2 linked regions of the Arabidopsis thaliana genome follow. Each later gene encodes a partner of the first gene's protein in a complex. Each region holds a gene or a part of one and is shown in the gene's direction. Other genes may lie near its edges.

Region 1 (16,626 bases):
ATGAGTGTGACCAGACTCTTTGTAGAAGAGAGTCAATGTGTAGTGCTCGATTTTTGGAAGACGAGAGAGATAGAGAGAGGTTTTGTGTTATCCTTTCTTCCTTTTTTCTTTTCTCTCTCTCGAGTTCGCGGTTCGACCTAAACTATATGATTTTTTCAAAAGAAAACACCATTTAGTCTAAAATGTATTTGACAAAAAAAAAAGTCTAAAATGTAAATTCACTAAGCAACAAAAACAAAATTGTAAGCTGTAATAATCTTGTACATTTATAGATAATTATTAAATAATTTCAGATATATAATCAATGAATGATGAATAACAATTGAATATAAGTAATTCAGTTACTCACGATTATTTATAGAATAGGAGAATTCATAAAATAAATCGAGTATTTGTAATCCATAACTTAAAATTTCTATATCAAAAGATTACGTACGTAGAGAAATCAAAATTTGGACCCCGAATATAATTTTGAATAATCATATATTAGCTTATTGATTCTCATTTTATAACATTTTCCTTTGTCATATAGTGAAATTGAGACACACACAAAGAAAAGATTTTTTTTTTTAAGTATAATACAAGAACATTTTTATTTAGACCATGCTAACATCTTCCCAATTTTATCAGATGTCCCAAAAGAACCTAATACAACAACATGCATGTACCAATTCATATCACATAGACAGTTAACACGAAAGTTCGTTGGTTTTTGTAAGGAAACCAATAAAGCATATTTGTCTTCAGCCTCTCATACTATTTGAGAGGTAAAAACCGAGACCATTAGGATTATTCTTTATAGAATGTTTTGGTGCCTAACAAATTTTACTGGCATTTCTTTTTTTTGCCATAAACTGTTAAGAGGTTTATTTATGAATTGTTAACTTAATTTCTTTGATCAAACAATAGTAAGTTCTATAAATGTATCTTGTGATCTTTGACTATGATAGACACTAAGCTCGGACTCATGTACATAGCCAAAACACTCATATATATTAAAACAATAATTTCATCGGTAAACTCATGTTGTTTCCAAATATACAAGTAGAGAAAACGTGTAGACTTACTCTGAAGGGACACGCATATACATACTGATAAACAACCATCATGGAGAAATCCGAGCCGTTTCTCTGCAAGCCAAACCAAATTTGACATATATAGTAAGGTCATGTGCTCTATACACCTAGTACCTCACATTCATTTGATATCTCCTCTAGAGATACATCGATCATAGTCATATTTTCAGCTTTCAATGATGATTTAGTCATTACCATTCTTGAAATATATTGGTCGAGTTTAGTCCATAGATCTTCGATCCTGTCGTGACAAAGCCTTCCATCAATTGTCAAAAGATCTCTCACGTGTGGAAATACTCGATGCGTGTTGCTAAATATGTGAATAAAAGAACGCCAAATTTATAGAAAAAGCGAATTAAAATTCAAGTAAACATATGAATATTTTTCAAGAAAAGTGAATTGAAATTTTATTTTCATGAAAACTTACTATTTTTTTTTTTTTTTTTGAACACTCATGAAAACTTACTATTAACTCATCAATCTTATGCCATTCGACCACGATCGATAGTAGAGGCAACTATTATGGTACAGTTACGAGATGGACAAACAACAATAACTTGAAAAATAATGATTTTTTGTTTTGTTTCTAGAAATATACACATACGGATCTTGAATTTATCTGATTGCGCAACTAGAGATATCAACATTGAAATTCATTCGCCCAAATAGTCAATCTGGCGGTCACATGTCAGCTAACTTTTCCAACAATGTTCATTAATTAATTAACAATCTCAAAGATTTTGTAGATTGAAATACAAATCTTCTCTCTGTGGTACATTTCTTGAAAAATGGGAAAATCAAGAAAGTATCGAAAATGTACAAAAATAAAAAGAAATGAATCAAAGTAGCCATGATCTTGACAACAATAATCGAGAGAGATCGTCATGATACGATTTCCCTCATCCAAAATTGATTTTATTTCCCTTCCCAAATCAAACATATCATATGATTTCACCACTCACCATTACTTGACTATTCTCAACAAAAAAAATATTAAAAAACTTTATGACTTTGATTTTATTTTTATTTGAAGTTTAGCCAAAATTTGAAAATATGACTTTTGAGAAGAAAACAGAATAAACAAATAATTAGCCACGCGCTATCAGACAGACAAAATCCCACAGATATGCAAAGATCTCTCAGAATCCTCTCCCCATATCATATTTTTCTCTTTTCCCTCTCCTTCTTTCTTCCTTTATAAATCCATTTATTCTCCTCTCATCTCTCAGCAAAATCAAATCCTCATAGTTGATTCTCTCTATCTCTCTCACGAGTCACGATCCTACTCTTCTTGATATGGCTGAGGTTTTGCGTCCCGAGATGTTAGATATCTCTAACGACACTTCTTCATTAGCATCACCGAAACTTCTTCATGTTCTTGCTGTTGATGATAGTATGGTTGATCGGAAGTTCATCGAGCGGTTACTCAGAGTCTCATCTTGTAAAGGTAACTGTTGTGTTTGTGTTTATCAAAAAAAAGTGTTGTGTTTGTTTATCTTGTGTAATCTGTTTAAGTACAAGAATCTGACATTAGTTTTGTTCTGTCTCAGTTACTGTTGTCGATAGTGCGACAAGAGCTTTACAATATCTTGGATTAGATGGAGAGAATAATAGTTCGGTTGGATTTGAGGTAATAAATCTGATCATTGTGTTTAATATTTTTGAGAGTGAGAATCCATTCAAATTTGGTGTTAAAAGATTTTTGGTTTGAAATTATATTTTAGGATCTGAAGATTAATTTGATAATGACGGATTACTCTATGCCTGGGATGACTGGATATGAACTACTGAAGAAGATCAAAGTAAGTTTTGTTGATGATTCAATTGTTTTCACAAAATTAAAATGAAGTTCTGATTTGACGAAAAAAAATTTAAAAAAAAATGAAGTTTTGATCTAATCTTGTTTATGGATTTTGAACTTTTTAACAGGAATCATCAGCTTTCAGAGAAATACCAGTTGTGATTATGTCTTCAGAGAACATCTTGCCTCGTATCGATAGGTATATTCTACTATAATAATCTTAACTATGATCCTTAATTCTTGTTTAGGTCAAGATTATGTAGGACCAAAATTTACCAAATATAGTAGATTTTGTGCATTTATTACTTCAGGAGATGGGGATGATTAGATTTAGAGGGTATTGTTTGTTTAGGAAACTTTTTAAAGTAATCACACTAATTTAGGATTTGTGATAAAGTTACCGTTAAAGGATATGTATTGACTAAATTAAATTGTTGTATAATCACAAGATTTTGTTATGATAGAAAAGGTTATTATATGATTACTTTTTAACTATCATGGGGTTAACTTTGGTGGTGGTTGTATATTTGATCAAGCTGAGATTTGGTGTTTATTTTAGTGGGTCCTAAAATGATTTTTAAAATGGATCTTAGGAATAATAAAATTTATCTTGTGGCCATAAATTTAGAAAAGAATAATCCATCATAAGTTAAGCAAGATCTTCTCTTGAGATTTGATTCTATATAAGCCGGTGACATGTTAGGCCCTCCAAAACTTTATAATATATGTTTTAATTGTTTGGGTTGCATAATCTTAGGTAGGGTCATTTATAAAATCCCAATCCTCGTGATAGACACCTCACATGCCTTTGCTTATTACTAAGGAACCAAACCCTCTTTACCAGATTAAGTTTAATGATTATCATATATGAGCTGGCCATTTTCTGTATCCAAAGTTATAAACTTTATGGAATTAGATCACTAACATTTGGTTCCTTATATTTATTCAGATGTCTTGAAGAAGGAGCTGAAGATTTCTTATTGAAGCCTGTGAAATTAGCTGATGTGAAGAGATTAAGAGATTCTTTAATGAAAGCTGAGGAAAGAGCTTTTAAGAATATTATGCACAAGAGAGAGCTTGAAGCTAATGATATCTACTCGCAGCTAAAACGCGCAAAGATCTGAGTTTATCAGATTCCACGTACGATATGTTCTTTAAAAGCTCAAAGATTCACACACATGCATGTCCTGATTCTTTCGGCTTACAATTTTTGAGACATTACGGCTTCTTTTGCTGATAGAACCAAGACTGATCAAGAGTGACAAAGATGGGTTTTTATAAGATAGAAATGTAAATTGTAGACTTGGATTCATTAGAGAGGAGAAGAGATACATTTTTTTTTTCTTTACATGAGAGATATGTAAAATGGTGGTGTGTTATTTTGGAAGTTAACATATGAATTTCTTTTGTTAAGATTACTTAAATAATGATTTAGGAATGGATTAGTAGTTTAGTACCGTTCATTACACGAAGACAAGCTAATCTTTTGTCTAATTAAAATAAAGCTGTCTACATGAATCGAATCCAGCGAGATAAGTTAGTTATTTTAAGCGTTGGTTGGAACACTTTACATGGCTTTTCGTAGAAATTTCCCCAAGTTGGGTTTTATTAAGACCAAGAAAATTCTAGTCTCCTAGACTTTTTTTTGTTTCTTTTGTTAATTTAGTCTCCTAGGCTTTTTCATTCTATCTGAAAGCAAAATATGGTTATGCAATTTGGTTTAGCCAAAAAAACAAACTAAATTTTTCTAGTCCGGTTCATGTAACTTCATAATCAAACAAGTAAAAGTCGAATGTGACGCGTCTTGCCGAACGCAAAAACGGACCAGGCAAGAAGGTGTAGTTAGTTAATTCGGTTAATATTCAGCTGAGAGAAATCGAACCGGTTCCATATCTTGTAGATTATCCGGTTTACTTTCCGGATAAGATTTATAAGCAAAACAGAGTTAAAGTAGTAGATTTCTTCTATACGAGACCAAATCTGAAAACCCAAGTCAAGCTACAAAAACTTAACTCCAAGCGAACAAATCTCCTCATTCATTAAACAACAAAATTGTTTTCCGACAAAAAAGTGAATATCATTGAGTTACTGCGAAATCCCAACCGAGAGTGACATCTCAAACCAAAAGATGGAGTCTATATTAAAGAGACGAAGACTCCAAAGTCAAGCTACAAAATTTCCAAGCAAAGATTACACAGAGAAAACTTTCCGACCAAATGTGAATGTTTATGAAAGTTTCTGCGAAACTCCAGTCATGTCGGATGTACAAAGCCATACACCAATGTAAAACCGACACGTGGAAAGCTAAGATTCCTAGCTTTTCTTTCTTCATGAGTCTCCAATAGCCAAAGAGTCAACTCCAAAAAAAAAAACCCATTTTTGCATTGAAATGGTCTCATGATGGGGTATTTTGGGTAACTAATTAGTCCTGTCTACATCTTCCCATAAATTAACAGAGTAGGAGCGGATTAAAGAAGCAAGACGATTCAAAAGAAAAAAGAGAGAAGAAAGTCCACTAAAGAAAAGAGAATAGATATAGATCAATGGCGTTTGAAGCTCTTACCGGAATCAATGGTGATCTAATCACCAGATCATGGTCAGCCTCGAAGCAAGCTTACCTAACCGAGCGCTATCACAAGGAAGAAGCAGGAGCAGTCGTAATCTTCGCTTTCCAACCATCTTTCTCAGAGAAAGATTTCTTCGATCCGGACAATAAATCTTCCTTTGGAGAAATCAAGTTGAACCGTGTTCAGTTTCCTTGTATGAGGAAAATCGGTAAAGGTGATGTAGCTACTGTTAACGAAGCTTTCCTCAAGAATCTTGAAGCTATCATTGATCCAAGAACCTCATTTCAAGCTTCTGTAAGAAGATTGAAAACATCCGAATATATTTTTCTTTTTTTTTCTTTTTTGGTCTCTTATGCTTTTACTTCTTCAGGTGGAAATGGCTGTGAGGAGTAGAAAACAGATAGTGTTCACAGGACATTCCTCAGGAGGTGCAACTGCAATCTTAGCAACAGTTTGGTATTTGGAGAAATACTTCATACGCAATCCAAATGTTTACCTTGAGCCTCGTTGTGTGACATTTGGAGCTCCTTTGGTTGGTGACTCTATCTTCAGTCACGCACTTGGGAGAGAAAAATGGAGCCGGTTCTTTGTGAACTTTGTCTCAAGATTCGATATTGTCCCTCGGATTATGCTTGCTCGAAAGGCGTCTGTAGAGGAAACTTTGCCTCATGTTCTTGCCCAATTGGATCCCAGAAAGTCTTCCGTCCAAGAGAGTGAACAGAGAATAACAGAGTTTTACACAAGGGTGATGCGAGACACATCAACTGTTGCAAACCAAGCTGTTTGTGAATTGACTGGAAGCGCAGAGGCGTTTTTAGAGACCCTTTCTAGTTTCCTTGAGCTAAGTCCTTATAGACCCGCCGGTACTTTTGTTTTCTCTACAGAGAAGAGATTGGTTGCAGTGAACAACTCGGACGCCATTCTTCAAATGCTGTTTTACACTTCTCAAGCCAGCGATGAACAAGAATGGTCTCTAATTCCATTTCGAAGTATCAGAGATCATCATAGCTATGAGGAACTGGTACAGTCGATGGGAAAGAAGTTGTTTAATCATTTGGATGGAGAAAACTCAATAGAGTCTACGCTCAATGACCTTGGAGTGGTAAGTCTCTCTCTCTCTCTCTTTTCATACTGTGCAGCTCCATAGCTCCATTCTTGCAATCATTTAAACCCTTCAGAGTGTTTCCTTTTTCTGCAGAGCACAAGAGGCAGACAGTACGTTCAAGCTGCATTAGAGGAAGAGAAGAAACGAGTAGAGAATCAGAAGAAGATTATTCAGGTTTGTGGTTGATAAGCTTGTTCATGAATAATGCAGGTACGTGCTTCGTCTGTTTGTGTCTAACAACATAAAACTTGTTGGTTCTGTGGTTTTTAGGTGATCGAGCAAGAGAGGTTTTTAAAGAAACTAGCATGGATAGAAGATGAATACAAGCCAAAGTGTCAAGCCCATAAAAATGGGTATTATGATTCCTTCAAAGTTTCAAATGAAGAGAATGACTTCAAAGCAAACGTCAAGAGAGCTGAGTTAGCCGGTGTTTTTGACGAGGTGCTTGGTTTAATGAAGAAATGTCAACTTCCAGATGAGTTCGAAGGGGACATAGATTGGATCAAGTTAGCAACTCGATACCGCAGATTAGTTGAGCCTCTTGATATTGCAAACTACCATCGACATTTAAAGAACGAAGACACAGGGCCGTACATGAAAAGAGGAAGACCAACCCGCTACATATATGCTCAGAGAGGCTACGAACATTATATACTGAAGCCAAACGGAATGATTGCAGAAGATGTATTTTGGAACAAGGTAAATGGTCTTAACTTAGGGTTACAGCTAGAAGAAATTCAAGAGACTCTAAAGAATTCGGGATCCGAGTGCGGATCATGCTTTTGGGCTGAGGTTGAAGAACTCAAAGGAAAGCCATACGAGGAAGTTGAGGTAAGAGTTAAGACATTAGAAGGGATGCTTGGAGAATGGATCACAGACGGGGAGGTAGATGATAAGGAAATATTTCTGGAGGGTTCAACGTTTAGAAAGTGGTGGATTACGCTTCCCAAAAATCACAAATCGCATTCTCCTCTGCGAGACTATATGATGGATGAAATAACAGATACCTGAACCTTAGGTGGTGGAGTATTTAAGCTATTAGAACACTTGCTTCTCTTAATTTGTGCAATAAGAAATGTTTATCAATCTGGTTTCCACTTCATGATGATCTTAGAATAAGAAACATGTTGTATGATCATTGTGAAGTAATGTAATAGCTCTCTATTCTAATGTCAAATTTGGTTTCCACTTTACAGTGATCTTAGAATATATACGTTACTCTACTAAAGCCTAAAGCCATCTCAAATAGCATGAACCAGTAACAAACAACCTTCCTTAGATTGAAATGGTCTCATGATGGGGTATTTTGGGTAATTACTCCTGTCTACATCTTCCTACTATATTAACAGAGTAGGAGGACTAAGAATCAAGACGACTCAAAAGAAAAAAGAGAAGAAAGTCCACTCAAGAAAAGAGAAATGGCGTTTGAAGCTCTTACGGGAGTCAACGGTGATCTAGTCACCATATCATGGATGGCGTCGAAGGGAGCTAACCAAACGGAGCACTATCTCAAAGAAGAAGTAGGAGGAACCGTTTTTTTCGCCTTCCGAGCATCTTTCTCGTCGGAAGATTTGTTCGCTACGGAGAATACATCTCCCTTTGGAGAAATAAAGATGAAGCGTAATCAATTTCCTTGTATGAGAAGCATCGGCAACGACGTTGACACTACTGTTAACGAAGCTTTCCTCAAGTCACTTGAAGTTCTCATTGGTCCAAGAACCTCATTTCATGCTTCTGTAAGTAAACAAAAGCTTCTTAAATGCGTTTTAAATCGAAAACATCAGAATAATTTGTGTCTGAAACTTACTTTCTTCAGGTGCAAAGCGCGGTTGATAGAAAACAACAGGTTGTGTTCACAGGACATTCTTTCGGAGGCGCAACTGCAATTCTAGCAACAGTTTGGTATTTGGAGACATACTTCATACGTGACGCCTATGCTGCCCCTGAGCCTCGTTGTGTGACATTTGGAGCTCCTTTGGTTGGTGACTATATCTTTAAACACGCGCTTGGGAGAGAGAATTGGAGCCGGTTTTTCGTAAACTTTGTTACAAGATTCGATATTGTCCCTCGGATTATGCTTGCTCGGAAGACAACGATAGAGCAAACCCTGTCTTACGTTCTTGGCAAATTGGATTCTACAAGAGCTCCGATCCATGAGAGCGACCAGGTGATAACAGAATTTTACACAAGGGTGATGCGAGACACATATACTGTTGCTTCCAAAGCTGTCTGTCAGTTGATTGGAAACGGAGAAGCGTTTTTAGAAACTCTTTCTAGTTTTTATGAGCTAAGTCCTTATAGACCAGTAGGCACTTTTGTCTTCTCTACACAGAAAAGATTGGTTGTAGTGAACAACTCAGACGCCATTCTTCAAATGTTGTTTTACACTTGTCAGTCCAACGACGAACAAGAATTGTCTGTGATTCCATTTCTAAGCATTAGAGATCACCATGGCTATGAGGAACTGGTACAATCCATTGGTATTAAGTTGCTTAATCATTTGGATCTGCATAATCCGCTTTTGGATGGAGAAAACTCAATAGGCTCCGCTCTCGACGACCTTGGAATGGTAAATCTTTTTCTCTTTTCAATTTGTGCAGCTTCATTAGCTCCATCCTTATTTATGTTTCCTTTTTTGCAGAGCACAAGAGCCAGACAGTGTATTCATGCTGCATTAGAGGCTGAGAAGCAACGAGTGGAAAATCAGAAGAAGATAGAAACCAAAAGAGATCAAATAGTAGAAAGACTAACTTGGATAGTGGAAGTATACAAGCCAAAGTGTCAAGCTCATAAAAATGGGTATTACGATTCCTTCAAAGATTCAAATGAAGAGAATGACTTCAAAGCAAACGTCAAGAGAGTGGAGTTAGCCGGTATTTTCGACGAGGTGCTTGGTTTAGTGAAGAAAGGTCAGCTTCCAGATGGATTCGAGGGGAGCAGAGGCTGGATCAATTTAGCAACTCAATACCGCAGATTAATTGAACCTCTTGATATTTCAAACTACCATGGGCAGTTAAAGAACGAAGACACAGGGCCGTACATGTTACATGGAAGACCAAGCCGCTACAAATACGCTCAGAGAGGGTACGAACATGATATATTAAAGCCAACTGGAATGATCGCAAAAGATGTGTTTTGGAGCAAGGTAAATGGTCTTAACTTAGGATTACAGCAAGACATTCAAGAGATCTTAAAGAATTCGGGATCCGAGTGCGGTTCATGCTTTTGGGCTGAGGTCGAAGAACTCAAGGGAAAGCCATATGAGGAAGTTCAGGTAAGATTCAAGACACTAGAAGGGTTGCTTGAAGGATGGATCAAAGACGGGGAAGTAGATGAGAAGGAAATATTTCTGGAGGGTTCAACATTTAGAAAGTGGTGGAATACACTTCCTGACAGTCACAAAATACATGCTCCGCTGTATCCACGTGAGCGTATGATGGATGAAACAAGAGCTACCTGAACCTTAAATGGTTCGATTATTGAAACACTTGCTTCTTAATTTGTGCAATAAGAAATGTTTATCAATCTGGTTTCCACTTCACGATGATCTTAGAATAAGAATCATGTTGTATGATCATTGTGAAGTAATGTAATAGCTCTCTATTCTAATGTCAAATTTGGTTTCCACTTTACAATGATCTTAGAATAAATACATTATTCTAAAGCCTAAAGCCATCTCGAATAGCATGAACCAGTAACAAACAATCTTCCTTAGTGTTGACAGAAGGAAAGAGGACCAGAATGTCATCAGAATAGAGCCTGAGGTTACTTCAATTGTTTATAACATTACTAACCTCTATACCTCAAAACAAGTGGCTGTGCAAACGCTCCAAGTTCTAGCTACTACATAACCAAAGAAGAAAACGATTAAAACACAAAATTTGAAACTTGCCCTATGCCCCTCTGTATGCTAGTTAGCTCGATATGAAAGTTTGACTCAAGTATGTCTCCTAAACACAAGTAAATAAAAGAGTAATCACATTACCAAGACGTTCCTGTTAGATTTGCGTTCCACCAGAATCCTGCATCAGTATAATCAACTCAAGGATGCATACCATATAGCTAAGGAGGAAGTAGATCATTCACAAAAGAATCAGACAATAGAAGTAATCTTCAACTCTTTCGCGCGAATGTCAATTTTATATATAACCAAACTTGACTGTCTATATGCTGTATTTAGTCGCTCAACATAGAATCAAGTAGAATGATATAACATCTATGGCCACCTTAAAATAACAGACGACATAAAATGATACCTTTAGAGTATTACAGATAAGCAAGGTTCTCGCAGGCTATGAGAAAGAGACTTATTGCAACTTTTATGTATTTGAAATTCGTGTACCACCTTATGTACTCACACACCACTCTACATAACCACCACCACCACCACCACATGTTTCAGATGAAGAAGAGTCATTGACATAGAAGAACATAGAACATAGTTCTCAGTTGCCAAAAGACAAATCCCTATACCCATATCTAAAGAGTTTTAAAGACAGGTGAAAAACGTAGAACATGCGAGGAAAACAATGAAGAAGAGAGAAAACAAACAGACACAGGCCGAGAAAAGCCACACATCCTTTCTTCATGACCTGCAAAACATGCTAGACGAACGAGCAAGCCGAATAGTCAGACCACCACCTTGAACACTAGCTTCAAACTTGATTGTGTTCCTTTCATAAGGCTTTCTGCAACCAGGACAACGCCCATCTCCATCGCATATCGTCTTGTGGCAGAAAAGGCAAAGCCGGAATCCACAAGGACATGGCAAGAAATTTGAGTCTGTTAAGTCAAGATCTTCGTAGCAAATAGGGCACGAAGATGGCACCACAGTCACAGAACTAAAATGCAAATTCATGACCGGAAAACTACGCTGCTTTTCCAAATTAGGCAGACCCTGAGGACGGAGCTTATCGTCTGGCCTCCACGCCTGGTTACTCTTTTGCTTCCTTCTCTGAGAATCCGCCTTTGCATCCCTTAAAACCACATCAGCTCCACCGATTAAAGCTGATTGCTTGATATCCTCATGCTCTTGGCAAGACTCAGGAGGATTCTCTTTCTCATGCTTTTCATCATCAGCAGCTAAAGCATCAGCAATAGCTTCCCAATCATCCAAACAACCATCATCATCAGCATCTTCCTCCTCTGTTATATTACCAGAGCAAGAGCCACCACTTCCACTGCTACTGCTGCTGCTAAAATTAGGAATTGAATTCATGCCACTAAGAATACTGTTAGGGCTATTAGAAAGTGACTCAATAAAGCTCTCATGACGATGTGTTCCATTGTTATCCTCATCTAAATTCTCCACCGGACGCGGAAGATCTCTCTGATCAGGCTTTTCACTCCCAATTCTTCGATTGGATTCCATTTCCTCCTTATCCCCTTTGTTAATCATCGCAACTAATAACAACAAAAACCCAAATCAATATAAACAAAATCCACATGTAAAGATAGATCATTTAATTTTACCTTGAGAAAGCCATTGTTCACGACGAAGACCTAGCTTGCTCTGTTTCAATTTGGCCGACCTGTTCGTCTGCAAACCCAAAGAGTGAAATCAAATCTTTGAAGAGAGAAATGAGATTTGAGGAAGGATTGAAAACAATACCCTTTTCTTTTTTCCGAAATCCCTGGCGGTTGGAGCTGAAGTAGCAGAAGCGTTGGTGATCGAATCAGAAATCATGGTGGTTGCAGATGATTCCAAAGCAACAACAAAATCAAATACAAATAAATTTCAAAATCACGAAATGAAGATTTCTCAAAAACCCTAATACAGATTTGTTGCGAGAGAGAAGAAGAAGAAGAAACGTGCGATTTTTTATTTTTTTTTGCTTTGTTTGTTGTGTCTGTGAGAGAAAACGAGAGAGAGAGAGATAAAATAAGGGGATAACGGAAACTCCTCGTCTCCGCACAGAACTTTCCTTCTGACTAAAGTACCCTTTCTTTTGACTTTTGCACACGCTCGAATGTAGGGGTGGTTTTGTAATTGTGATGGATCTACACGTGTGAGAAACTTCTGTTCATTTAAAAACGGTGGCGTACGGTGGACTACACGTGAGGATAGTTCATATGATTCACAAATATCAGCGAGCTTCTAGATCAATCAGCTGGGTTTCTTCTGGTTACAGAAAAAATTAAATGATTTAGAAAAACATCAAAACCACAAAGTCAAAGTTGTGTCTCTTTCTTTCAATTTGATGAATCGATCAAACACATTTTTATCTTATATTTTGATGTAACAACAAAACATGAAATTAAACAGGTTAAAATAGCTTATGAAAATTGGTATTAGGGAGCTAGGAAACTGCAGATGAGAGTTGAACAACATTTAGGTAAGTTTTTAACTAAGTCATGATTAGTTTATTGTATTTTGAACATTAACCTGCAAAATTAATTACTACTATAATAAGAAATCTTAGGTAGCAACATGAAAAAAGTAAGAATGCTAATTAACAAATTACATTAAATTTTAGAAAGAAAAAAAATAACATGTTAAACAATATTTTTTATTGCATCAACATAGTTCTAAGTTATGAAATGACATAGGATGATAAAAATCGATTTTAGTGAAATGACATGTAACTTGTAATGGTGAATCAGTTACATGGTTTACCATACTTTAGAGTGTATATAACTTCAATCGATCAGTGAACCATTTAAGATTACGTAAAGATACATCAAGTGCATTAAGAGAGACCAATTGATCTACTCGACACAAACAGAGAGTATAAGCTAGTGTCTAAGATTGACCGATAAATAATAATAATACAAGGATTTGGATTTAATCCTTCAAGCCACTCTAACAATTCCAAAGGCATGAAGACAGATTATCAACATGAAAAGCTGAAACATGTGGAATGTTTTTTAATTCCACAATTGTCCAAAAAAAACAAGCTTTTATGACTTTATTACAAGCTAACACACTGTTCAATATGAAATCAAGAAAAGAATGAAAAAAAACTGAAATTAAAGAATAAATCCTACTCGAAATAGACAAACCAACACGATGGTTCAAAAGAAAAGGTGAAGTTGAGCAGAATCTGACTTAACACAACAAACAAACAAAAACCCACAGAATAATATTCGGGAATCTACCTGAAAAAGAGAGCAAGACACGCATCAATGGAAAAAGACTTTTATGGATCAGAGATACAAACAGAGTTTTGATATGTTATCTCACATCAATTGCAGTTCTTGTGTACAAAAGGTAACGCCACACACACTCTCGATGAAAGAAAGAGATTTCTGAGTAAATGGAATATTAAAAAAAGTATGTTTGTTTGCTGCAATGCAAAAGTCGAGGTTAAATTCAAAAAGCAAACATATACATACACATATGTGTGTTACCTTTTTCCTAGACAACAACTGATCAAATAAATTACTTTATTATTAGTATGAAGTCTGAACTAAGCATTTTCCAAACAGTTTACATTGGCTAATCGATCGAAGTAAACGAACAATGTCCAGTGAGCTTAATTATGCACTAGTGACTAGTGTTATAAACTTCAAAGGGAGTCCAAATTTCAGCTTATAAAACCTCGTACCGAATTATGATTATATTAGCGAAACTGGTTTTGGGTTAAAAACATAACACATGTTTATATAGATAGATATTACATGCTAACAACTCATGATGAGTAGTAATGTGCAATGTTAGAAAGTATGGTTCGTTTTCAGAATCCACCTAACGGTTGGAATAACTCGAAATGTACCCATGAGTTTCCTATCTATATTTAGAACGACATGCATAATCTTGATTGTGACACTCAGTAATATTTCTCTCTAACCCGACCCGACCCGCCCGAACTCTCCCAAGTTACCTTTCCCCTTTTCGACCGTTTCTCTCTCTCTCTCTATTCTCTTCTTCGATTTATTGGTGTTTTGTTCGCTTACGCGATTTCTCGAAGAAAAATTCTCGTATTCCTGGATCGAAACAAGGCTGATTCGGTTACTCGCTGTTGCTGTTGTTGATTTTGGATCTGTGTTTTGTTATCTGCGGATCGGGAAATTGGAAAAAAACCTAGATATTTGAGCCATTTCGTCGCGAAATTAGGTTTTTTTTTTTCACCGGTGGGTTTTTGGATCTAAAGGTATCGAATATTGTCTGGGGAAAAAAGGAATTTTGAGGATTTGTTTGATTTTCGCTGAGGAAATTGATGTTGTTCGAAGGAGAAGATGATAGAAGGCTATGCATGGGAGGGTTTGTGAGCGGAGGCACAAAAGTCGTCGTCGGCACATGTTGATATCTTCCTCTCGTGTAATTGCGACTGTGGAAGGTGGTGGTTCTTCTTGTTTGTCCTTATCTTCATCTACCTCGTTTTCTAAGGTAAGTTCTATTCGATTTCGTTTCGATTTCCTCAGGCGTTTTTTTTTTCTTTCGTGTTTCCTTCTGTTTTGGTGGATGGGTTTGCCCAAAGTTTTGAAATTTCGTCTGGATTTTGTGATTCTATTGGTTGATTCGAGAAAATGAGTTTTTTTTTTTTTTTTTTTGGGTTTGCTCTTCGACTTATAGTTTTGTTTGGTGTTTGCTGTCACTAGCAGGACGGGCGCAAAATTAGTGTTGGTGACTGTGCTCTGTTTAAGCCACCACAGGATTGTCCACCGTTCATTGGGATAATTCGCTTGATCATTGCTGAGGAAGAAGATAAGTTGAAGTTGGGTGTTAATTGGCTTTATCGACCCACTGAATTAAAACTTGGCAAAGGTATCCTTCTAGAGGCTGAGCCGAACGAACTCTTTTATTCCTTTCACGAGGATAATATACCTGCAGCATCTTTACTGCATCCGTGTAAAGTTGCCTTCCTTCCAAGAGGTGTTGAACTGCCATCTGGTATCAGCTCGTTTGTGTGTCGGCGAGTTTACGACGTTACAAACGAGCGCTTATGGTGGCTGACTGATCAAGACTATATTGATGTGAGATTATAACTCATCACCAACTGCCTTCTTCTATTTGGATTTATGGCTTTCTCTGGTAACTAAGGCATTTTTTTCCTCTTTGCAGGATCGACAACTAGAAGTAGACAAGTTATTGTGTAAGACTCGTTCAGAAATGCATACAACATTACAGCAGGGTGGTCGTTCTCCAAAGTCCATGAATAGTCCAACAACATCACAACCGAAAGATGGCATCCAGAACAACAACTCTCTTTTCTCTCAGAGTAAGGGAAGGAAAAGAGAGCGTATGGATCATGGTTCTGAGTCTGTTAAACGGGAACGTTCTAGTCGAGTAGATGACAGTGGTTCCGGTCCCCTCAGAACCGAAAGCGGTTTAACGTCTGAGATTTTAAAATTTACAGAGAAAGGTGGTCTGGTGGATTCTGAAGGAGTTGAAAAATTGGTTCAGCTCATGCTGCCTGAGAGGAATGAAAAGAAAATAGACTTAGTTGGCCGTGCGATTCTTGCAGGGTTTGTAGCAGCGACAAACAGGTTTGATTGCCTTAGTCGTTTTGTCCAGCTCAGGGGATTACCCGTGTTTGATGAGTGGCTGCAGGAAGTTCATAAAGGGAAAGTTGGGGATGGGGGCAGTCCCAAAGACAGTGATAGGCTAGTAGACGATTTCCTCTTAGTCTTACTTCGGGCTCTTGATAAGCTACCGGTGAATCTCAACGCGCTTCAGACTTGTAACATTGGAAAGTCTGTTAATCATCTACGCTCACATAAAAATTCAGAGATTGGGAAAAAAGCAAGGAGCTTGGTTGACACTTGGAAGAAACGAGTTGAGGCAGAAATGGATGCGAAGTCTGGATCCAACCAGGGTGTTTCCTGGCCTGGAAGACTGAGTCATGGGGGAAGGCATTCAGGTGGTTCCGCGGAGGCAAACAAGACATCATCATCACACCTACATGCTTCTAAGTCTGTCTCGGTCAAACAACAGGTGGAAAACAACCTGAAGTGTGTAGCCACGTCGCCAGGCTCCACAAGATCAGCTCCTTCTCCGGGATCAGGTGGTAATGTTTCTAAAGATGGACAGCAGCGAAATGCTGGGGCTGGTGGTGTATCTGAAGTCCTAGCTGCAGTAAAGGATGAGAAAAGTAGCAGCTCCAGTCAGTCGCACAATAATAGTCAGTCTTGCTC
Region 2 (17,378 bases), 1.7 Mb from region 1:
AGCGGAAAATGTTCAGTCTGCTTTGGCTACAATGAATGGCGTGGTAAGGCTTCTTCTCCCTTCTTGTTTGGTTGGGTGGTTTGGGTTTTGAGACTCACTAGTTTTGGTTTTTAGGAAGTTGAAGGACGAGCGCTGAGGCTAAATTTGGCTTCAGAGAGAGAGAAACCCACTGTGTCTCCTCCTTCCGTAGAAGAAGGAGAAACCGAGGAGGCCAGTCTAGAGAGTAACGAGGTGCTTTCGAATGTTAGTGCATGAAGCAGCAAAAGCACAATAGATTCCGGATAAGTTTCAGACTGATCTGCTCGAGGTGCCAAAAATGAAAATTTTGTTGTCTTTATAAATGTGTTGTTTTGTTCTAGTGAGGCTGAAGAAGAAGACAATATATGAGATAGAAAACAAGAGATTGTTTGTAATTTTTATTGAGAATGTTTTTAATCCATAAATGGTGTAATGTAACAACATATCTTGATTCCAGTAAACTGCAAATTTCTGTCACGATTAATGCTAGTCGGTCTCGTGGTGCCCGGAAAGCAGAGCATCTGCAGCAGAATCTAAGTCCTGAGGGAAGAAGACCCTGCAGAAATATTGACAAGCCATCAAGACAACGTTTTACGTTAGAACAGTTCTTCATATTTCTGTCATGAAATTATGTGAAACCGAAAAAGAGAAAACATGCCTGCAAGTGTTGTGGTACAAGGTTGAGCTAACTTGATTTAGATCGCCAAGTCCTTTGTAGCCAGCCACCACTTCAAGGACTTGCCTGGAGAAGAAAATGATTGCCTAAGAATTGTTCGAAGACTGTATATGCTTATGGATTTGACAAGATTTTAATCTAGAAGCTACACTCACCTGACTAAACAAGGCTCATTACGGCCTTTGACAAGGGACTCTTGATCATACTTCTCTTTTTTCTTGGAAGGCCAAGTCGACTTTACAAACTTGATTCCGGCGTGTGTGTTCTTGATATCACAATATGGAGAGTCGGTTTCGATCATCATTCTCTCTACTGGTATTCCTTTCATTACCTCAAGATTCTCAGCTGTTTTCAACGAGCACCCGTTCACACCTGCAGATAGAATACACATCAGCAAAACAAAAGACCAGAACAGTAATTCAAGATATTCTGACCAAATCTGATCCTACAAACGCCTAGGCGAGTTAAAGCCTACAGGCATAGTCTCTAATAGAAAAAAAGTGGAAGTCTTTACCAAGGTACATTTTATCGAAAGAGAGAAGCTTATCGCGGTCCGACGCACTACCAGTAAATGAATGAGCAACTCCTCCAGTGAACCTGAAAGTGAATCATGGGATTAAGATGACTAAAAAATCAATCCAGGAAGTTTATCTAAACACAACTCGAAAAATCATTAGCCTGCATGTTCACCTATTCTTGTTTCTCTCAACAATTTCACAGAAATCTTCAGCAGCTGCTCGCATGTGTAGGAACATTGGCAACTTTGTAGCATATGCTAGTTCAAATTGCTTCTCAAAATACCTTTCTCAACAAAGAAAACATAGGAAGATATTTCAAATAGAAGAAAACAATGTAAACATGAAACTTTTTATGATCAAACTTACTTCTTCTGGATATCAACTGAGCAAAATTGAAGCCTGTCATAATCCAATCCACATTCACCAATTGCTACCACCTAAATCGATCATAAAGTACAAGAGTGTTCAGTGAATGGTTTTGATTACGATCAACACGAAAGCGATACTAAAGCAATTCAAAGTATCTACTAGAGCAGAAGAAATAGCACCTTCCCTTTCTGCATTCCTTCTTTGGCTAATGAAAAAAGAGCCTGGTAATGCTTCTCCGGATCACCACTCTCTTCAAACTCCTAATGGATAAACAACAAAACATAACATTAAAGAACAATCCAAACAGAAGATTATAATTTAGATTTCAAGAAACTCTCGAGTATGTAAAGCAAAAAAACTGACATTGCATCTAGTTGGATGAACACCAACAGTGCAAAACAGCCTACCTGCAAAAAATGTACATCAATCAAAAACTTCTAAAAGACTAAAAACTTTCTGAAAAAAAGATCTATAAAACAAACAAACCATCAGTCTCTGCAATTGCAAGAGCTTCTCTTGATTCTTCCAATGACCCACCAGTTACCTATTCAGGAAAATTGGAATCTGAATTACTCAAAGTCTATCACTTGTAATCATTCAAACAAAAAGAATCAATAAGGAGTGACTCAACTATGATTCTATCGACTCCAGCAGACCAAGCCCGGTTCAAGACAGTGGCAATATCCGGAACATGACAGTTCTTGCCATGGTAAAGTCCTTTGAACATCCCATCTGTTTCAATTAGACTAAAGAATTAATATGGTCTGTGCAATAAATTGATCAGAGAAGGACATGTTCACAAAGTGTTTGTGGAAATGCCTCAACTAACCTGTGAAGTTAACGGCTATGTCTGATCTTACACAAACACATCAAAAGAAAAGCAAAAGAAACAACAGTTGAGTTACACAGAATCTTGTACATTAGAAAAAAGAGAATCAATCGAAGAAATTTATTTTGAGTGATTCCTAATTTTGACTTGCCTATCATCTTCAATGACGCCATTGCGAGAGAAAGTGAAACAATGGCACAACACAATGAAACTTTTTTTTTTCTTACGCTTTGTATGACTAATCGGCTTTTCCCACGGCCCAATATGGTTCGATAAATTATGGGAGTACGAAGATAAAAGTATTTATGAATAATTACTGTTAGACTCCCATAAGAATTTGGTATCAATGAAAGGCAACATTTCAGTGAAAAAAAAAAAAAGACTCCCATAAGAATAATTGTCTAAATTATTTATATAGAGAACAAATTAATCTAAGTTTCATAATTTAAAATAAATATAAATGTAAATAATACTATAGAGATAACTGTAAATAATCTATACTTAAGTATGATAATATTTGATATATATTTCAATTTTTTTAATTTCCATATTCTCTGGAAATTCATTTTGACCATCGATTTTGATAGATCTCTCCGAATAATAATATCATAGACGGTCAAATTAACTTAAGTCGATTGTAAAAAATAAGCAAATCGTTCCATAATAAAACAAAGAAATGTGGTGATCGCATTATATATACACAGAGTTTAACCAACCAAAACATTACAAAAACATTAAAGACAAAATACTGTAAAATAAAAAACAATCTTCAAAACATAGATATGCTCATGCATAGACAGAGGGAACCTCAAAAAAAAAATTATTTAGCGTAGTAGCCGCCGATTCACAGCCGGAGGTGGCGGTGGCTGAGCTTGAACCGGAGTAGCTTGACGAGGTGCACCTCCACCTCCCCCACCATTACTCTCCCAAGGCTTAACAGTAAACACCACAATTAAAACCACAATAATGAGCAATAGCAAAATGGCAAAGCAAGTCCACTTCCGTGTGTTCTTCTGATAAAACCGTGCCTTAACAAGCCGGTCCGCACCAGACCGAACAAGCGAGTTAGCTCGTTTGACGTTGCCTTCAATGTCATCAAGCTGTGCACCCTGATGCTCAACCAACACAGCCATATCAAGAAACACTTGGTGCAACTCATTCAAACTCTTCTCAATATCTTTCACTGCGTCGTGCCTCTCCTGTATCTCGTTAATAGTGTCCAAAATCCTACCACGACCTTGTTCTTGAATCGCTTTCTGCAAAAATGTTTCACTTTCACCTACAATATAATTCCAATTTATATCAATATCATGATTTAACCAAATTATAAACTAACAATTTCTTAAAAAGGTTTAACAACTTGCGCTATTTTCTTGCTCTTTAACGTTTAGAATTTGAATTTTGAAATTGACCAAAAAAATTGTTAAGAAAGAATTGGAAAAAATTATTACCTGTGGAGATGAGACGCTCGAGGGTAGCTTCGTCGGGATATTCGCCGGTGACGGTGAAGCACATTCTCCCAACCGTCTCTTTGTACTCATTCGTGATCGTTTCTCTCACTCGACTAAATTTTTCCATCTCATCCTTCAGCTTCTTCCTCAACCCGTTAACCACCGAAGTTCTTTGCCGGTCCGACGACGAACCCGGTCCACTTTCCGGTAAACTTCGGTTGACTTCATTAGCCCGATCTAAAGCCTCGAGGTTTCCTTTCAAGCGCCTCGCCGTCTTAAGCGCAGCAGTGACGTCAGCGTCCATCTTCTTCTTCAGCTCCTTCACCGCGTTAGCGTTATGAAGCGTCTTGCTCTGTTCGTTGCTCGATCGGAGGTTGTGACAGAGACGATCTAGCTCTTTAAGGTCTTCGTTTACAACCTCCACGTCGAGGAAGAACGTGTCTAGGTTGTTACCACCGTGGCAACTTCCGCCGGAGACTTTCGCTTTTGACATCTCGATGTTGTGTGAGTGCGGCGGCGATGAACCGTCCGCGACGGAGGTTTTAAACGAGCCGGAGAGAAGATCGTTCATGGCTTAAGAGATCTTCGATTTTGAAAGTTGAAAGGAATTGAGAAAAGTAAAATCTTTTGATCAAAATCTGTTTGTTACAATTGTATTTATATTGACGAGTCAAATATGGAGAAAAAGAAAAGGAAAGTTTTAAACATTAGAACTGAAAATAAAAAAGGAAAAGTCTGATTAAAACGCGGTTTTGAAATTAAAGGATGCTTCGTTTGTTGTCAATGAAGTAGTATCTACCTAACCGGGTTTTTTAGTGAGTGAACCGAAACACGTTTGTCAATAAATCCGTTTAACCAAAACAACTTTGTTGGGTTAACTAAACCACGTCAAGTACCAGATTTTATGTGTGCTGACTCGGTCAAAATTTCATGATCTAGTCTAACAATAAAATAGAATTTCTAGATGATTGTTTGAACCGGTCGGTTTGATGAAGTTAATTGAATTGCTGAAGGGAAACCAGACCAGAATTTCCAAGAAAGAGTGGATAAGGCTAGGATGAATGTGATGTATTGATATTTTAGGCAAAGTGGAAGATTTTAGAATTCATAGTCGCCGGAGACAATTAACACGAAGGTTTGAATTCGTCGCTGTCCATTTCGAATATTTTAATGCTAAGTTTTTTGTGGTGAAATTGATATATAATAATCTTTTGTCCAACCATTAGTTTTTTTTTGTTTCTTCTCCAATTTGTCTTTGAAATAATAGTTTTGGGATTGGACAAAATAAAAAGTAATAGGTAAAACTGAACCAAAACAAACCTGTTTATATCGAAATTGAATCAAATTTCTTTTATTGGGTCAACCACCTTGTATTATGCAAATTGAAACTCTAATGGTGACGTACGACAACACTAAGACCATGTTATCCGGCATGTCCTGGTCTAAAGTTTAATATTAAACCGAGTAGTTAATTTTAGAACTAAAATATGTTCAACTTGGTTATTATTAAGATAAAAAAATTTATTATATAAAATTTAGTTTTTAAAAATAGTAGAGGCTAGAGACACATATTTAGAGGTGTCAAAATGGGTAACCCAACTCAACCCAACTCATAATCAAATGAGTTTAGAGTTAAATGAGTTATGTGTTAACTCAACTCATTTTGTTAAATGGGTTGGGTCAACTCATAACTCATTTAATTTGATGGGTTGAGTTGTTAAATGGGTTAACCCATTTAATTAATAATTTACTTAATTACTATTATAAAATAATAATAAATAATTATCATTATTAATTCATTATCATCAAACTTAGGATATTTACGGATTCTACTTTTTATGGGTTTACGTTTTTTATGGGAAAATCTTGGGTTTACGTTTTTGGTGGGAAAATCACGGGTTTACGTTTTTGGTGGGAAAATCACGGGTTTACGTTTTTGGTGGGAAAATCACGGGTTTACGTTTTTGGTGGAAAAATTACGAGTTTACGTTTTTTGGCGAGAAAATTACGAGTTTACGTTTTTAGCGTCAAAATTACGAGTTTACGTTTTTGGCGGGAAAACCACGGGTTTATGTTTTTGGCGGAAAAATCTCGGGTTTACGTTTTTGGCGGGAAAATCACGGGTTTACGTTTTTGGTGGGAAAATCACGGGTTTACGTTTTTGGAAAAAAATTATGGGTTTACGTTTTTGGCGGAAAAATTACGGGTTTCCGTTTTTGGCGGGAAATTATGGATTTACGTTTTTGGCGGGAAAATCTCTGGTTTACGTTTTTGGCGGAAAAATCAGGGGTTTACGTTTTTGGCGGAAAAATCACGGGTTTACGTTTTTGGCGAGAAAATCACGGATTTACGTTTTTGGCGGGAAAATCACGGGTTTATGTTTTTTGGTGGAAAATTTACGAGTTTACTTTTTCTCAATTTCATCGCATGTATATTTAAGAAATTTGGAAAAATATTAATTTTATTAAATTGGTTTAGATGTGTTGGTTAGACTTAAATTGACATTGATTTAGAAATTTTAGTTGGTTTAATTCAATTTTACAAAACTTGATGGGTTAATTGGGTAAACCATTGAAACCATTAATCATTACAACCCAACTCATTTTACTCATCAAACCAATTGACTCATCAACTCATTTGACCCATCAACTCATTTGAGTCAAAATTTTCAACTCATTAGGGTTTATGGGTTGAGTTGAGTTGACCAATAAATTTTGACCCATTGACACCCCTACACATATCAAATAATTTTAACCTATCTAAATTTTTTTTATAAAAATTACTAACTAACATGTCACGAGTTCACGACACATATCAATAAAAATATTAGATGTCTTCATGTATTAAGTCTAAATTTGTTAATACATTTACTGAGAAAATGAAAAAGTTAATAACTCTATATGAAAAAGGAGGTTATATATAAGTAAAAAAGAAATTTGATAATAAATTAAGAAAAAAAAAAACACAATTTGTAACTATATTAGAAAAAAGGTAAAAGTTCCTTATCCTAACAAAAAAGAAATTGTTGATATATTGAACTATTTATCTAATTCTATTGATTGTTTTTTTCCATATATATATTCCCAAGAAAATAAAATAGGGATCCTTTCAATTATATTTACAATTATATAAAAAGTTTGTATTAATTAACCAATAGACGGATAAAAAGTTGGGCCATAGTTTAACAAACAAACTATCTTTATCCAATGAGAAGCCCAAACCGGCCCATTTTAAACATCCTAGTAAAACCCATCTCCCGATCTTAAACCATCGGTTGATACCACCGACACGCGAACAAGACGACGACGCAGCGATGGGAAAAACTTCGGGAGCGAAACAGGCGACTGTGGTGGTCGCAGCGATGGCGTTAGGATGGTTAGCCATAGAGATCGCTTTCAAGCCTTTCCTCGATAAATTCCGCTCCTCAATCGACAAATCTGACCCAACCAAAGACCCCGATGACTTCGACACCGCCGCTACTGCAACCACATCCAAAGAGGGTTTGTAAAATTAGGGTTTTATCAGATTAAAGAGATTTACTGATTTCAATCCATTTCATGTAACTGATGAATCCATGTGTTCTTAATCATAACAGTTTGAGCAATTTCTTTTGAGTCATGATCGTTTATTTGTCATCAATTTTTGGAAAAGTCTGCTATATTGAATCTGTTATTGTAGTTCAATCGCATAACAGAATCATTAATCTAATCAATATTCATACATGATTTGTTACACCGTTTTTCGTATTTTGTATAAAGTTTCGAGCTGTATTATTAAGGTGGAAGAAGAGATTAGGAATCCGATAAGTACTTAAATTGTTTTAAGTTATGATTCGATTATACGTATCTCTTGAAAAGAAGCATGTTAGAGCAAAATATCAAACTTGACAATTACAAGATTGCTTTATAGATAAAGCAGATTAGCTAAATAAGTATAGGGAGACGATAACATGTGGTGATACAAAGATGTGTCAGATTGATTGTTTAACATCATTTAGTTGAGAAAACTTTGGACGACGACTGACTTCATCATATGAGAAAACACCAAGAAAATGTACTACTAGTCTCTAATGGAGAGACTTGGTTATAGAAGTTCATTGTTTAATTTGAATATTTACTCCAATTCAGGAAAATATCAAAACCAGAAAATTACATGAAAATTACTATAGATGGTAGCTTTGCAATGATTATTGTCCGGTTGGATAGTTTCATTGACATTTAGGATTCAGATTATCTCTTTTATCATTATCAGTTTGTTAAGGCAAGAGTTTTCTAATACATGCTTAAGTCCTAATCATCAGATATTTCTTCTTCAAACCTTTTTTGTTTTGTTTTGATAATTTGCCCCATTTTGTACTCTAGGTTTTTCCACAAAGATCCCAAACAGAGATTAAAAGATGACAATGGCATGGACCTTTCAATGCTTTGTTTTTTTGTTAAATTAGATATAAACCTTTCCAAACAGTAAATTATCAAATTCATTAACAAGTATCTATATCTCTCTAGTAGAGGTAGACCACAACTTAAAAATCTCCTCAAGTCATGGTGGGTCTAACTTGTAGGACTTATATGGGCCAAATTGTATAACTATATCATGTTAAGCTGAAACTGAAAGTAATTGGTTCCTTTTAAAAGCTTAGCCAAAAAAACTTCAAAATGTCTGAGTCAAATGTAGGTTGATTTCTCTGCAATTTCCATGAAAGATAGATAGATAAACTCTTACCAAAGTTTCTGCATATCAAAAGTTGTCAATTTATGCTCAAGTCTAAACCATTCCGATTACATAGGATCACATGCTTTGATTCGCATTTTCTTCTACTATATATTTACATATTTTTTTGTCCTCTACACACAATGATTAAAAAATGAGAATGGACCTACCTTTCACAGCATTTCTTTATTATTATTTTATAAAACCAGTACAATTTTACTAAATTATGATGTTAAAGTAAGAGACTTTGAAGAAGACGACTTAGCAAAGACCAAAACCAAGAAATTACATAGGAACAAGCCAAGAAGATACATAGATAATTTCTTTTTGCTTGTAATATATTTACAACTTCATAAACATCATCGTTCTGCAACTCTCTACTCGATATCCAATCATGGACGATTGTCGATTCGAGACGAGTGAGTTGCAAGCTTCGGTAATGATATCGACTCCTTTATTTACCGATTCTTGGAGTTCATGCAACACCGCAAATTGCAACGGGAGTATAAAGATCCATGACATCGCCGGGATTACATACGTTGCTATACCGGCGGTATCGATGATTCAGTTGGGGAATCTTGTGGGCTTGCCAGTCACCGGAGATGTTCTTTTCCCCGGCTTATCCTCCGATGAACCTCTACCTATGGTCGACGCTGCCATACTCAAACTCTTTCTTCAGTTAAAGGTTTGTTTTCTCTTCCTCTGTTTTTTTTTCTTTCTATTGGATGCAATTTAACCTATTTATTATCTTCAAGGCATGTGGATATTTGAATTTCAATTAATAATACCTCGAGAGAAAAATACAAAAATCATTAAATGCTAATATGGGAAATTATTTCACAAAGGATTTTAAAAAAAAACAAAATTCTATCATAAGTTTTATTCGTTTGGATTTGCGAAAACGAATTTTACCTATTAAAGTTACTATTTTTTTTACGTATTTTAGTACTTTTTAGTAGAACTGATGATCATTACTATTTTTTATTTAAATATCTCTGTCCTCTGAATTTTGATGAATTATAATCCAAATGGAGGTTTTTTTTGTCCTTTTAAAAGATTATTATAAACTATCACCACCACCTACCCCAATAGGCAATAGACAATAGATAATAAATAAAAATTATTTTCTTGTAAGAAATTCTAAAAAGATTCGTGGACACAATTATTCCAAATCCACCATTTGGAATATGTCATTGTCGCGACCTTTGGATATCATAAGCAAGTCAATTGAAAGTTTGGTTTGTATGCCATCACGTCCGTCCGCCCAAGTGATTTAAAAAATTTACTAATTAGTGAGTGAAACGTCATTGGTATTTTTGACACCAAAAAAAACAAAAAATGTTAATGGAATTGGTAGCTTTACGCTTTATGCTTTAACACACCTCGGCGAAGTTTATAAATGTGCGCTCAAAAAGTTTTTAACCCATGATTATTGTGTCACCATCATGTATTTTATTCCCTTTTTCGTCGAATACTTTTAGTTTTTGTTTTGTCTCTAAGGATATGAAAATCTTGAACAAAAACAAGTTCCTATTGGTTTTGATGAGTAGAAAAAACAAGAAGTGACCATTAATGTAGATATAAGTTGTAAAAATGGTAAGTCTAGAGAGGTGTCTTAACTGATTTTTATTCAAATTTGGTTAAACCAAGTAATTGGCAAATTTAGTCTCTAAATCAGTTTACATTATTAGAGGAAATTGTACACTCAGAAGGAAGGTAATCTATAATCAGTTTTGTTCTTGTTAGTCAACCAATTTACAGTAACGTCGACTGCATTAACGTGCAGATCAAGGAAGGATTGGAATTGGAATTGTTAGGTAAAAAGCTGGTGGTGATAACCGGCCATTCAACCGGCGGCGCATTGGCCGCTTTCACCGCACTTTGGCTTCTATCTCAATCTTCTCCGCCGTCATTCCGCGTCTTTTGTATCACCTTTGGCTCTCCTCTGCTCGGAAACCAATCTCTCTCCACCTCAATTTCACGATCACGTTTAGCACACAACTTCTGCCACGTGGTCTCCATCCACGACCTCGTTCCTAGAAGCAGCAATGAACAATTCTGGCCCTTTGGAACTTACTTGTTCTGTTCCGACAAAGGAGGTGTCTGTCTAGACAACGCTGGTTCTGTTCGTCTGATGTTTAATATCCTCAACACCACAGCAACTCAAAACACCGAGGAACATCAGAGGTACGGACACTATGTGTTCACACTTTCACACATGTTTCTTAAATCTAGAAGCTTTCTTGGTGGGAGTATCCCCGACAATAGCTACCAAGCTGGTGTTGCGTTAGCCGTTGAAGCTCTAGGTTTCTCTAACGATGACACAAGTGGCGTTTTAGTCAAAGAATGTATAGAAACAGCTACAAGAATTGTTCGGGCTCCTATTCTGAGGTCAGCTGAGTTAGCCAATGAGCTTGCTAGTGTCTTGCCAGCAAGACTCGAGATTCAATGGTACAAAGATCGTTGCGATGCATCAGAAGAGCAGCTAGGTTACTACGATTTCTTCAAACGATATTCGTTGAAGAGAGACTTTAAAGTGAACATGAGTCGCATAAGACTAGCTAAGTTTTGGGACACAGTGATTAAAATGGTGGAGACGAATGAGTTACCTTTTGATTTTCATTTAGGAAAGAAATGGATTTACGCATCTCAATTTTATCAACTCTTAGCCGAGCCACTCGACATTGCGAATTTCTACAAAAACAGAGATATAAAGACTGGCGGGCATTACTTGGAGGGGAATAGACCTAAAAGGTATGAGGTGATTGATAAATGGCAGAAAGGAGTTAAAGTGCCTGAGGAGTGTGTGAGAAGCAGATACGCGAGCACAACGCAAGATACTTGCTTTTGGGCTAAGCTTGAGCAAGCAAAAGAGTGGTTGGATGAGGCGAGAAAAGAGAGTAGTGATCCCCAGAGGAGATCTTTGTTACGGGAAAAGATTGTTCCATTCGAGAGTTATGCGAATACATTGGTGACGAAGAAGGAGGTTTCTTTGGATGTTAAAGCGAAGAACTCGAGTTATAGTGTGTGGGAGGCGAATCTGAAAGAGTTCAAGTGCAAAATGGGTTATGAAAATGAAATTGAGATGGTTGTTGATGAGAGTGACGCAATGGAGACTTAGTAGGACTAATAGCAAATCGAATGTTTGATATGCTATATAACAATCTGTATCATTGTTGTTCATCATGTTTATGCAAGACTTTCTGATGAATGTTACTATATATTCTAAAACAAAATTTATCGTCAATGTTCAACAAGTTTTGCAAGAGTTTCTTTTTTTGTGCAATGTGCAAAGAGTTTCTCATGTAGAGCTATTGCTCTCTTTTTTTTTTTTTTGGTGAGAAGTAAAGCTATTACTCTAAAACCAACATGTAGTGTGATGGTGATCTAATTTCAGGAATTTTAGAATACAAATATATAGAAAAACGTAAGACCTACTACATAGAATTCTTGGAGATTGCCAATATTTACATGATCCAAGAAGCTCTTTATCCCATTCAGATTTTCCTTTCCAATCCCCATTTTTCTGTGGGTTAATAAATCAAATAAATTCAAGTCAAATAAGTAGACAAATAGAGACAGTCCTTGTTCTTCAAAACTTGTGTCTTCTTGTTTCACCTTCTCGTTCTATAGTTTCTATTCACAGATCGTTACGCATACCTTACATACCATTTTCATACTATATACTATTATATAATTATGACTATCTATGATTCGTTATCTACAAGTTCTGATTCTTAACGACTCTGGCCAAATATTCATCGTCCTCTCGCGAATATAATGTGAATAGAAAATGTTGCAATATAGATAACTCATGGTTTAGTACTTATTGATATGAATATTTTACTTAATATGATTGTAAGTACATTCTATTAATTTTAAAAGACATATATTAATCGTGCAGCATCCATAAACTAAGCCGTACAAATAGCTCAATGTACACCCAATAACCCATCTCTCCAAAGAGGCCATAGGCTTCTTAGTTCCCTTCGAAACAATCTCCAAGACGATCTATTTTCTTATTCATATCTTATGATAAAAAAAACAAATACTAGTATTTAAATATCTATCAAAGATTCAAAACCCTTAACCCTGTCTCCCCCAAGAAGCAACAGTGAGTGCACCCTTACGAGGCATTTGCTCCCCCAAACTTCATCCACTCTCTAGCCTCCACGCGTCTCAAACTCTCCACATGCACAAACTCTCACCCACACATTCATGCATGCGTATATAATACATTCGTATTCCGATAGACTAAAGAAGAGCGAGAGAGATATGGAGAGAGCAGAGGCCTTGACATCATCGTTTATATGGCGGCCAAACGCAAACGCAAACGCGGAGATCACGCCGAGTTGTCCAAGATGTGGATCCTCTAACACAAAGTTCTGTTACTACAACAACTATAGCCTCACTCAGCCTCGCTACTTCTGCAAAGGCTGCCGCAGATATTGGACCAAAGGTGGTTCCCTCCGCAATGTTCCTGTAGGCGGTGGCTGTCGAAAATCCCGCCGCCCCAAATCATCTTCTGGTAACAATACTAAAACTAGCCTAACCGCTAATTCTGGCAACCCCGGTGGTGGTTCACCAAGCATCGATCTTGCTCTTGTTTACGCCAATTTCTTGAATCCAAAGCCTGACGAATCTATACTACAAGAAAATTGCGACTTAGCCACTACGGATTTTTTGGTAGATAATCCTACCGGCACTTCCATGGACCCTTCATGGAGTATGGACATCAATGATGGTCATCATGATCATTATATTAATCCGGTGGAACACATTGTGGAGGAATGTGGTTATAATGGCTTGCCTCCATTTCCTGGTGAAGAGCTTCTCTCTTTAGACACTAATGGTGTTTGGTCTGATGCTTTGTTGATTGGTCATAACCATGTAGACGTTGGCGTGACTCCGGTTCAGGCTGTACACGAACCGGTGGTTCATTTCGCTGACGAATCCAATGATTCCACCAATCTCTTGTTTGGAAGTTGGAGCCCTTTTGATTTCACTGCCGATGGATGATCCTTATATTTGCATATAAATTTATGAATTTGTGTTATTGTACCTATTATACAAAGAATGATATACACGATTATATGAAATTCTATAGATCATTTCATGTAATTAAGAAAGTCGATAAATTTTAAGTACAAATTTAAGGGGTAATAATATGTGTACTCTACAGATCATTATTTATTTTGGTTATTCAGTCGTTTTGAAGATTTCCTCAAGAATCCCACGTGGAGGTCCTTGTCTTTGGATTCGATTGAGATTTGCTTCGTTACTTGAACTTGTACAATTCAGAGAAAGTGAGACGCACGTGTATCACGGTTGCACGTGTGAGAGCCTGTTAGTATCTCTGGCCTGTGTAGATCCTTCTCCAAAAAGGGAGTGTCAGAGAAAGAGCATATTTGTTCCTACTTTTCTTTCAACTCCTTTCTACATGAAAAGAAAAAGAAAAATGTGATATATCACAAGAGTTGTTTTTTATTTATTAGAGATTTATAAATACAATTTAGGCCGTTTACATGCGAAATCCAATTCTCTATGAATTGAACACTTTCTTAGCTTAAGCCTCGTATTCCTATTCATATTGCCAACTGTTAGAGGCAAACAAAAAACTCATCTCTCAAGAACGAAGATAGACCCTCGCTACCATAACACCGCCACTTCAACAGCATTTTAATGTTTATACACAACTAATGTACATATACATTTTTACAGCCATTTTGTGAAATAAATCCTGTAATTGAGACTTATTTACAATGGCTGTCACTGGATTTTAATGTTTGATTTTGATAATTAAAAAAAAAATATTCGAATTAAATATTTGGCATTTAACAATGTTCCCTAAATCTCTCCACATTAACTACACGATTAGTTCCTAAAATAAAACTTTCAAAATATTTAATATCATTTAATTACTACAAAATTATCATTTTTGATATTGCTTTTCTCCATGACTATAACAATTCGATTATAATCATCAAATCGCAGAGATATATGATAGCATTTACTTACTATAAAATTACAAAATATTTAGACAATAATTCATAAACATATTATAAATAAGATCAATATTAATAAAATAAATGGTTTTTTTACGGGACGGATTGGCGGGAGGGGTTTGGCAGGACGTTACTTAATAACAATTGTAAACTATAAAATAAAAATATTTTATAGATAGATACAATTTACAAACTTTTATGTATACTAACTTTTAAAAATATATTGTTCTTGCGGTACACCGCGGGTTAAAATCTAGTTACTTCATTAATTGTGTAAACATTACGGAAGCCTTCTTTTTGGTCAGAGTATTATGAAACCTAAACGATAATAAATTGTCAAAAACGAAAAAAACGAAAATACTATAGATTTGGTGAGCTAGAATGGAAAAAATTACGCAACTTGAGTTCAGAGGTAGGCGGCAAAGAAGTTAACTTGGAAAGTTGTTCATCATCGAGCTTCGTGTCACACACGTTCCCCATACATCTCCGCTTGATCCAAGAATTATATTACTAAAGAAAACAGTTGTGCATTTAAAATTTGTTAAATAAAATTTTGAATTGTTTAGATTGAAATGGGTGGAGGAGAATATGAACTATTCTATAGACAACATGATACTTAAACACTGATCTTAGACTCTGATAAAGTAATTCAAGCAGAAATAGTTTCTGGTGTTCCTATAGTCTACATGGTTACATGAATGTAAAACTGATCAGACATGCATGAAGAGGATTGCATGGCATATCAAAGTTTTCTTTGGCTTGAGAAGTTTATATCAAATGTATGGAGATAGCGTGGAGGTGAGTATCGGAAGAATATGAAATTATGAAGAAGCAGAGAAGATTACCAAAACTGAAGATTTAATGTATCAATCGTATCAGGAAGGAAGGTTGAATACTGAGAGATATACTCGGGCTTAATTTGTAATATGCTTTTGAGGGTAGCTGAAAAACAATCTCAGAAAAACAATACGTATAGTAGGTGATCATTTGGCTATGGGCCATTTCATTGTTGTTGAAACAGAGTTCTAAAAGGCTTTTTTGGTAGAACTAGGGTTTGGAGATTAACAAACCAAAGTCTTGTCTTGGTGTATATATCTGTTTCTAAGGTTTTGTCACTTGAAGATATCAAATTGAGATAATTATCTGCTTTTTTCAGAATGTTAGCCTACATTATAGAGTGAAATTAGCTAGCCTTAACGGATCGGTAATTTTATGTATAACCTTCAGCTTTTGGGAAAGCTTGTGTATGGAAAAACTTGGATTAGGAAGGGAGAAGTATAAATTTTGAAACTTTTGTTTAGTTGTATTTTCTATTTTTCTTGTACGTAATGGCTCAAAGATCATAGAATATAGAAAACTTTGTATCTACACAACTCTTTATAACTATCTTTCTTTTTTCTGTTTACAAAAAAAAAAAAAACTATCTTTCTTTTTTGTCTAATTCTACGCAATGAGGTTTTTCGGTTGGTAAATTATCATTGTATGAAATTATTAACCATATCAAGTAAATTCTTAACGCATCATAGATATTTTCTCGGTTCCAAACCACAAGAGCAATACATTTATTAATGTATGATTCTCATATTAATTTTAAATTATTAAATTAATATCAGCAAACAAAACAAATAATTTTCTAAAAAATTCTCAAAATTACAGTTTTGACATAAAATAAGCTTTCAAAAAAAACAAAAAAGGGGATCGAGTCAAACGTAGCCACCGCCATGTAATCCAAGTCTTCGTGTCGACTTAACGTCCTTGAACATTTTAACATTACATGAAATGGAATTATAAATTACAAGTTCTTATAACCATACATTATACACTAGCTAGTCCTTCACGTTCACATTTATATGTGAACCTACTACATACACGCGCATGTATTTTTGTGGATGTAGTATATATGTCACGCGCATGTATTTCAAAAAGTTTTGTCAACTGTGGATATTCTCTCCATAACGTTGTAACTACAACTGCAAGTTGTGGTCGAGGCTGGGCCAATTTCGTAGTTTTTAACTCTTATTTAGATTGCGACATGGTTGCTCGTAAGATCTGACTTTGGATTCATGACATTTATTATATACAACTAAAAATTAAGTATTTTTAGAAAAAATTATACAAGTCCCTATATATAATGTGATATAGCCAAATAAAGTGAGAATGATGGTCAATACTCAGCTGCTGGTGTCTTAATTTTTGCTAATAGGATTTCATGTTTTTGGTGCATAAATTATTCTCAATAACTAAAAGGAGATTACAATTTGATTTTTAACTAGAAAACACACTGTAACTGGACCACCCATGTTACTGCTCATGTGTGTTACACTTTTATTCAATCTTAACATATGCTGTTGTTCTTACACTTATATTGAATGCTTTTTTGTTAAGAATATAAATATTTTGTTAAAAATAAAAATGTTAGGAGTTACAATGAAGTAAATTCTATGATCTAGTCTTGTGATAAAAAAAATAATTAAAAAAAAAACATAGAAGAAAAAAACAATCAATTCATCAACGTCGACCAAAATATTTTTGTCGATTCTGATAAAACGATTTTATTTTATTTTATATTTTTTGAATTGCATGTTCTGAAATTGATCTGTATCAACTATCAAGTATGTATAGATATACCTGATTATATTAATAAAAGAATATAAAGACAAATTCATAAGTCAGTGTTGGAAGAGTAAATTCGAGTGTAATCCAAATTAACTTTGACATGAGCGATTATTTATGTAAAACCTTAGGAATTTATATTGGACTTATAGCCCGAAAGTAATAATTAATTTTCTCAGGTAAAACGAC

Evidence for each region.
Region 2: AT3G48080 (region 1) and PAD4 share a complex: the UniProt entries of both Arabidopsis thaliana proteins name them as parts of the nuclear complex.

Annotation. Positions count from the first base shown.
Region 1 is NC_003074.8:17,746,487-17,763,112, reverse strand, and holds AT3G48080 (alpha/beta-Hydrolases superfamily protein), read left to right. Parts: upstream 1-7,922; 5' UTR 7,923-7,967; coding exon 7,968-8,285; intron 8,286-8,365; coding exon 8,366-9,118; intron 9,119-9,190; coding exon 9,191-10,009; 3' UTR 10,010-10,650; downstream 10,651-16,626. Other genes in the region: EDD1 (glycine-tRNA ligase), read right to left, coding at 1-2; RR5 (response regulator 5), read left to right, coding at 2,373-2,523, 2,627-2,706, 2,801-2,878, 3,006-3,076, 3,827-4,001; EDS1 (alpha/beta-Hydrolases superfamily protein), read left to right, coding at 5,421-5,738, 5,815-6,546, 6,643-6,723, 6,820-7,560; AT3G48070 (RING/U-box superfamily protein), read right to left, coding at 10,816-10,915, 11,142-11,952, 12,022-12,088, 12,161-12,235; AT3G48060 (BAH and TFIIS domain-containing protein), read left to right, coding at 14,741-14,878, 15,091-15,465, 15,554-16,626.
Region 2 is NC_003074.8:19,422,601-19,439,978, forward strand, and holds PAD4 (alpha/beta-Hydrolases superfamily protein), read left to right. Parts: upstream 1-8,494; 5' UTR 8,495-8,965; coding exon 8,966-9,256; intron 9,257-10,357; coding exon 10,358-11,692; 3' UTR 11,693-11,850; downstream 11,851-17,378. Other genes in the region: CP33 (chloroplast RNA-binding protein 33), read left to right, coding at 1-43, 115-255; AT3G52390 (TatD related DNase), read right to left, coding at 505-574, 677-760, 850-1,066, 1,209-1,291, 1,385-1,495, 1,579-1,649, 1,761-1,841, 1,945-1,988 and 4 more; SYP122 (syntaxin of plants 122), read right to left, coding at 3,235-3,689, 3,862-4,432; OEP7 (outer envelope membrane protein 7), read left to right, coding at 7,175-7,369; AT3G52440 (Dof-type zinc finger DNA-binding family protein), read left to right, coding at 12,790-13,590.